Linked DNA regions of Canis lupus familiaris. The protein of the gene in region 1 interacts with the protein of each later gene in a biochemical or structural test. Links are inferred from orthologs where the notes say so. Each region holds a gene or a part of one and is shown in the gene's direction. Other genes may lie near its edges.

Evidence for each region.
Region 2: the proteins of GAB1 (region 1) and GRAP2 form a complex in vitro, tested with the Homo sapiens proteins (2 studies listed by BioGRID and IntAct, with this or other methods). The link is inferred for Canis lupus familiaris from reciprocal best matches to the Homo sapiens genes GAB1 and GRAP2.

The regions. Positions count from the first base shown.
Region 1 is NC_049240.1:839,956-844,122, reverse strand, and holds the start of GAB1 (GRB2-associated-binding protein 1), read left to right. Parts: upstream 1-1,367; 5' UTR 1,368-1,413; coding exon 1,414-1,485; intron 1,486-4,167. UniProt on the Homo sapiens protein: Adapter protein that plays a role in intracellular signaling cascades triggered by activated receptor-type kinases. Plays a role in FGFR1 signaling. Probably involved in signaling by the epidermal growth factor receptor (EGFR) and the insulin receptor (INSR).
Region 2 is NC_049231.1:26,125,560-26,129,059, reverse strand, and holds part of GRAP2 (GRB2-related adapter protein 2), read left to right. Parts: intron 1-997; coding exon 998-1,117; intron 1,118-3,500. UniProt on the Homo sapiens protein: Interacts with SLP-76 to regulate NF-AT activation. Binds to tyrosine-phosphorylated shc.

The DNA.
Region 1 (4,167 bases):
GTCCCGCCGGTCGCTGGTTCCGTCTGCCCTGGCCCAGGCTGTCCCCCAGGCCCGCGCGGCGTCCCCAGCGCCTCCGGGACCCCGCGACCCGGGCGCTCTCCGCCTCCCGCGTGCTTCCCTCGGGCACAGCGTCGCGGCCGCGGGCGCTCGGCGGGCCCTCGCGTTCGGGTCGGGGGGTCGCGGTCGCGGTCGGGTCCCGGGGCCGCCGGGAGGCGAAGGCTGCGCGGGCCACAAGCGGCCCGGCAGCTCCCCGCCGACGCTTTCAGACTTTCCCTGATTCTGTTACCTTGTGAGGATTGTCCTGGGCCTTGGTTTTCCAGAAACAAACGGGAAAGAGCGTTTCCACGACAGGGCAGCGCGGGGCTGCGGACCGGGTGCCGCCCCCCCCCCCCCCCCCCCCGGCGCGCGCGGGCAGAGCCTCGGGGCCGACACCGCGCTCCGGGGGTCCGCGAGCAGCCGCCCCGCGGGGGGAGGGCGCCGGGGCGGGGGGCCGGGCCGAAGCGCCGAAGCGCCGAAGCGCCGCCCTCGCCCACGCGGGCCTGCCCCTCGACCCCGGGCTCGGCCCTCAGCCCCCCGCGCCCGCCCGCCCCGCAGCCGCGAGGCCGCCCCTCCCCCCGCCGGCCCCCCCACCCGGGCCCGCCCCAGCATCCCGCCCCGCCCCGCCCCCCCCGCCCCGGGCTCGGCCTCCCCGCGGGCCGCGCCGCCCCGAGGCTGGCGAGGAGGGCGCCCCCGGAGTCCGGGCGGCCTCCCCGCGGGCTGGAAGTGCCGCTGCCGCCGCGCCGCGCAGTCGGGCCGCCGCCCCCGCCGCCCAGGGCCCGCGCGGCCGCCCGGACTACACCTCCCAGGGTGCCTCTCGGACGCCGCCCCCCGCCCGCCCCGCCGCTCCCTCCGCCCCCTCCGCCCCCGGCCCTTGTTGTGGCCGCGAGTGCGGCGGCGGAGTTTCTCAGAAAGTCTGCAGCGCCCGGGCCGCGGACGGCAGCCCCCGAGAGCGCGACGCGCCGGACCCTGCCCCGCGCCCGCCCGCCGCCCCCGCCGCCCCCGCCGCCCCCGGACCTGCCCGCCGCCCCCGCCGCCCCCGCCGCCCCCGCCGCCCCGGGCCTCCGCCTCCCGACGCCGGGCGCAGCCGAGCCGGGGGCCGAGCCGGGGGGCGCCGCCGGGGCCGGGCCGCGGGCGCGGGGGAGCGCGGGCGGCGTCGTCCTGGGCCGGCGCCCGGGGAGGCCCGTTCCGGGGGCGGAGCGCGCGCGGCAGAGCCCGGGTCCGCGGGCAGGAGCGCTCCGGGCGCCGGCGGGACGGGCGCGCTGACGAGGCCCCGCAGCCCCGGCCCCGGCCCCGGCCCCGGCCCCGGCCCCGCACGCGCCCCGCCCGCCCGCCCCGCCGCCTGGGGCCGCCGAGGTCCTGCGGGCGGCGCGCACCATGAGCGGCGGCGAGGTGGTCTGCTCGGGCTGGCTCCGCAAGTCCCCGCCGGAGAAGAAGCTGAAGCGCTACGTAAGTGCAGCGGCCGCGCCGCCCGGGCCCCCCGCCCCGCCCCGCCCCGCCCCCGCCCGCAGCCCAGCGCCCCGGGGCGCCCGGACCCCCGACCTGCCGCCGCCCCCACCCCCTGGGGGCACAGCCGAGGGGGCGCCCCCGCCCTCTGCCCCCCGCCCGGACCGCAGCCCAGGCCCGCGGAGCTCGGACGGCCGCGCCGGGACGGCCGAGGAACCGGCGTCGCGGACCCGCGGGGGACGAGGGCGGCGGCCTTCGGGCCGGGGGGGGCGGAGGGGACCGGGGACGAGGGGCGGCCGGGCGCCTGGGGTCCGCCTCCAGGGCCGTCGGGGGGCCGGGCTGCGGGCGTTTGGGCGCCTCGGGCGCGCTCTCCGGCGGGGCGGGGCGGGGCGGGGCGGGGCGGGGGGGCAGCCGAGGCCGCGGGGTCTCCGCCTTGGACGGCCTCGCCCGGGCCGCCGGGATCCCGACGCGGCGGCGGCGGCACCGACACAACCTGCGGAGGAGGCGCTGCGCTGTTTAGCTGCTCCGAGAGCATTCCTGGAAAGAACCAGCCTTGCCACCCGCGCCCTCCTCGGGGCCCAGAACCTGCCCCCCCCCGGGGTCCCCGCTGCGCCCTCCTCGGGGCCCAGAACCTCCCCCGCCCCCCCCGGGGTCCCCGCTGCCGCCCTCCTCGGGGCCCAGAACCTCCCCCGCCCCCCCCGGGGTCCCCGCTGCGCCCTCCTCGGGGCCCAGAACCTCCCCCGCCCCCCCCGGGGTCCCCGCTGCGCCCTCCTCGGGGCCCAGAACCTCCCCCGCCCCCCCCGGGGTCCCCGCTGCGCCCTCCTCGGGGCCCAGAACCTTCCCCCGCCCCCCGGGGTCCCCGCTGCCGCCCTCCTCGGGGCCCAGAACCTCCCCCGCCCCCCCCGGGGTCCCCGCTGCGCCCTCCTCGGGGCCCAGAACCTCCCCCGCCCCCCCCGGGGTCCCCGCTGCGCCCTCCTCGGGGCCCAGAACCTTCCCCCGCCCCCCGGGGTCCCCGCTGCGCCCTCCTCGGGGCCCAGAACCATCCCCGCCCCCCCCCGGGGTCCCCGCTGCGCCCTCCTCGGGGCCCAGAACCTCCCCCGCCTCCCCCGGGGTCCCCGCTGCGCCCTCCTCGGGGCCCAGAACCATCCCCGCCCCCCCCCGGGGTCCCCGCTGCGCCCTCCTGGGGCCCAGAACCTCCCCCGCCCCCCCCCCCGGGGTCCCCGCTGCGCCCTCCTCGGGGCCCAGAACCTTCCCCCGCCCCCCGGGGTCCCCGCTGCGCCCTCCTCGGGGCCCAGAACCTCCCCCGCCCCCCCCCCCGGGGTCCCCGCTGCGCCCTCCTCGGGGCCCAGAACCTCCCCCGCCCCCCCCCCGGGGTCCCCGCTGCGCCCTCCTCGGGGCCCAGAACCTTCCCCCGCCCCCCGGGGTCCCCGCTGCGCCCTCCTCGGGGCCCAGAACCTCCCCCGCCCCCCCCCCCCGGGGTCCCCGCTGCGCCCTCCTCGGGGCCCAGAACCTCCCCCCCCCCCCCCCCGGGGTCCCCGCTGCCGCCCTCCTCGGGGCCCAGAACCTTCCCCCGCCCCGCTCACCCGCTGACTCTTTGGCCTTGCCCTCTGCAAAGGAGAAATGGCACATTTGTCCCGGCATATGGAGCCAATGGTGTTTTAGTGAAAAGTGTTTTCAAAAGCGAATGTATGCCTCCTTAGATACAGATTTACTCCTGGGGGCCCGCGCCTCCAGTGAAACTGGCCTCTCGTCCGAGGGGATCTACACCCAGTGGTAGAATCCAAGTTGATTTTGTGAGTCACCCCTTGGATAGTGAAGGGCATGTTTAACCGCGCGGACTCAGCGGTGAGTCCTGGTGCACCCTCTGCCAGCATCTGTTGCTCACGTAATTCTCATTCAAGAACTTGATGCCGCACATCCTAGAAAGACTTCTCCAGAAATCTTGACTCCTTTCAAATCCTGTCTCTTCTCACAGCTTCCTGAACGTTCTGGTAAAGACGCTAACTAACTTTATTTCAACATTTCTGGGAGACAGTGGTTTATTTAGTTCTTCTATAAAGAATGTTGTGTGTGTGAGAGGAGAGGACGGAGGGAGACAGGCTATTTGTTTTCAGAGGCGCAGCCCCGGAATCCCGTAGACCTCGGTAGGTCCTCGGAAGAAACTGCAGGACGGGGGATCCCTGGGTGGCGCAGCGGTTTGGCGCCTGCCTTTGGCCCAGGGCGCGATCCTGGAGACCCGGGATCGAATCCCACGTCGGGCTCCCGGTGCATGGAGCCTGCTTCTCCCTCTGCCTGTGTCTCTGCTTCTCTCTCTCTCTCACTGTGTGCCTATCATAAATAAATAAAAGTTTAAAAAAAATTAAAAAAAAAAAAAAAGAAACTGCAGGACGGTACGTTTGCAACACAGGTGGTGGTTATAGGGGCGTGATGGATTCTTTTACATGGTTGGTTGGGTCTCTCAAAAGATACCTAGCACTAGCCTAGACCCCCTAAGATCAGAAAATACCCGTAGGAGAGAAGCCTGGCTCTTGGGCTCACAAGTTAATGTGGTATAACCGAGGACGAGAATCAGCAAAAAAAGATGGTCTTAGCAAGGACCAAGAAAATGAAAAGTCCCAAATAAAGGAATGTGTATTATTTCATTCAATCATTACAACAGGTTTATGAGATAGGTACTACATCTGC
Region 2 (3,500 bases), on another chromosome or scaffold:
CCACTCCTGTCCAGGTTCCTAAATTCTAGAGAGCACAGGATATTGCTCACAAAGGAATCCAAAGTGCGTCAGACATTCACCTTCAAGGGATTGGACATACTAGCCTTCCTGTGGCAGCAATAGGAGAGCCACCTTGGAGAAATGGGACCCATCCCACTTAGGGCTGCTGAGTGATTGCAAACACTCATTTTGCTCTTCTGTGGTTGAGAGGTTTCTGGCCTCCTGCCCTGAGGCTGTAACCACTGTTTGCCTTGCTCCTGTGATTGTACTTGACCTTTTGCATGTATGCTATGCCACCTGCCACAACACTTCCAGACACTGCCACCCTGACGGCTCCCCTGAAAGAAGAATCTCTCCTCTGTTTCTTCTTTTCCACAGTAAGGATTATTTGCCTGGATATTGAGGGGGGTCCTGGGAGCTGGCTGTGTTGACGCTGCTCTCTGCTGCTGCTAGCCTGGCTCCACACCACCCAGATCACAAGCACCTCTGGGCATTAAGGGGGCCCACTGATCTCCCAGCCTGGGTGTGAGCCCAAGGCTTCCCAGCTCTGGTCCCCCAGTGCCTGAAGGGGTTCCTGTCTTCCTGGCACATCATCTGTCCCTGCAGTTCTTTCCTAGTGACATCCCTCACATAGCTGCCAGCAGGCGGCCACTTCCCGCAGTGAGTCACTCCCACACTGTCCCATTTTGGTGCAGTGGCACATTTCCATGATTCAGGTTTTCCAACTGCAAGAAAGACTTCTCCTGGAGGGAAGGAACAAAGTGGGTGCGTCAGGGGAACGCTCACTTGCCTTGTCTGAAAACTGCCTAGAGCATGTTTGGTTCAGAGGCCCCAGCCCCCTCCTTTGTCTCTTCCTGTTCTCTACTGACCAAAGTCCCTCTTTCCCTTTGGGTCGTTTCTTCTCCCCTTCCCCTTCCTCTTCCCCTTCCCCTTCCCCTTCCCCTTCCCATCACTCTGGCATCTCACCAAGACTCTCTGGTTTTATCTCATCCAATAGATGGTTTCATGAAGGCCTCTCGCGACACCAGGCTGAGAACTTACTTATGGGCAAGGAGGTTGGTTTCTTCATCATCCGGGCCAGCCAGAGCTCTCCAGGGGATTTCTCCATCTCCGTCAGGTACGATCATTCCCGGCTCAGACTGCTAAAGCCATGAGGTGACCCCTTGAATGTGACCTATTGCTCAGAAGCATGGCGGCCAAGGGGCCCAGGCATCTTATCAGCTGGAAGCAATTCATCTCCTTCCTGTGACCCATGTATATACCTCCTCAGTACGCTGGCTTGTGGCCAAGTTATGTATATGTCCATCTGCCTCCCCCTCTAGCCTAAGTGCTTCTGGAAGGACAGGATCTTTTTTTTTTTTTTTTAAGATACTATTTATTTATTCATGAGAGACAGAGAGGCAGAGACACAGGCAGAGGGAGAAGCAGGCTCCCTGTGGGGAGCCCCATGTGGGACTCGATCCCAGGACCCCAGGATCATGCCTTGAGCAGAAGGCAGATGCTCAACCACTGAGCCACCCAGGTGCCCCTGGAAGGACAGGATCTTAATCTATTTCATCTTTGTGCCTTTAACAGCACCTTATACCCAGTGGGCATTCGATGAGTATTTGTGCAAAGAAGTAGGACAAGAGAAGGAATGGAGAATCCTCAATTGTCCACATCTGTCTTAGGGTTTAAATCTGAACTTCTTCTTCTACTACTGATACATATCTGAAGAAGGCTCAGAGGAAAATTAAAATCTCAAGTCATTGCTGTAGTCACAAGTCATTTGTGGTTGCACAAAAAGAAGGGCCAGCTCCGTGCACTGTAATGCAGCAAACTGACAGCAACAGATCAGAGCCGAGGGGGTTGAGGTGAGGGACCGTAGCAGCAAAATCTCATTAATGTGAAGCACCCAGGAGGAAGTGAGTCAGTCCAGACACAAGCATGACACAGCCCCACGCTCAGAAACCCCAAGTCTGAGTGCACTGTGTGTGGTCAGCACGTCTGGGATTGCAAGTCACATACCAGGCATGGTGACCACATGTGAAAGTGTGCAAATTAACGCTGATACCTGCACATGAGGAGCCGTGGAAACCTGTACAGTGGAGCCTACTGTCGGTTCATTGACAGGAAATATTGGTCTGGATCATTCAATACATTTTGAAAGGCATGCAGCTTTAGTGCTTTAAGTTCATAAATCCAATCTTGCGTAATAACTGAGAGGCCACTTTACTATTTAGAAAGAATGGGTATTTTTGCATTGGGCTCCCTGCATGGAGTCTGCTTCTCCCTCTGCCTAGGTCTTTGCCTCTTTCTCTCTGTGTCTAACATGTATAAATAAATAAAATCTTAAAAAAAAAGAAAGAATGAGTACTTTTTTTTAAAGATTTTATTTATTTATTCATGAGAAACACACAGAGAGAGGCAGAGAACAGGCAGAGGGAAAAGAAGCAGGCTCCATGCAGGGAGCCTAACATGGGACTTGATGCCAGGTCTCCAGGATCACACCCTGGGCTGAAGGTGGCGCTAAACCACTGAGCCACCTGGGCTGCCTGGAAGAATGGGTATTTTAAGGAATAGGTAGGAAGGACTTACAAATAGGGGTCAACCATTTGTATGCACCTGCGCCTCTAAAGCGCTCAAAAGTAGCTTGGTCTCATTAGCATTGTCCTTGCAATCTTGCTTAAAATCTTAATTTTCCTTAACTAAAACTTGTTTTTTTTTCATAGGTTAGGCAATAGGAAATTTTAGGTCAGGCCAATAGTGATGGATCACAAATTCTAAATTTGTTAGGTCTTAATGCAACTTTGCTCTATTTAATAAATTTTATAGTCAAACCTCTTTCTTAAGGGCCCTGGTTACAGATTGGACTAGGTAAATGGCTACATTGAAGGGCATTCCTTGGTGCCTTTGGTTTGCATGAAGTGCACTCTGGCTTTTCAACTAGGAATTATGGTTTATATTTCCTCCATGATGGTGAATTCTCCAAAAGGGTCAGCCTTGACTTCTGCCACAGTCTCTCCCTGCTGTTGAGGCATTGCAGCTTCTTGTGATTATTACCATAATCATTACTACGTCTCTTGCAGAAACGTAGACTAATATATTCCAAAGCAAATCATTTTTATTTATTTATACATCTGCTTTCTGTCATGCAAAGATAATTAAGAGCTAATTGTAGTTCTAACATTTAGCATTTGTTAAGGGTCTGAAACACTAGACTTTAGAGTCTGAAGCCCTGAGTTATATCCTTTTCTCTGCTCCTCTTGGAACTTGAGACAGTGGTGCAGCCCAGATGAGAGAGCCCAGCTCTTTCCACAGGCCCAGGTGACTGGCTGCAAACCTGACATCCAGCCTCTCAGTTCATGAGAGAGAGAGAGGGTTAATGTTTCTCACTCTGAGTTCTTTGACTAAGAGGTGGTGGATGAATAATTATATCACAAGAATATTTCCTCCTCCACACACAGATGTGAGGAGTAATGACTAGGAATTAAACCATGTGTTGTTAGAATGAAGAAAGC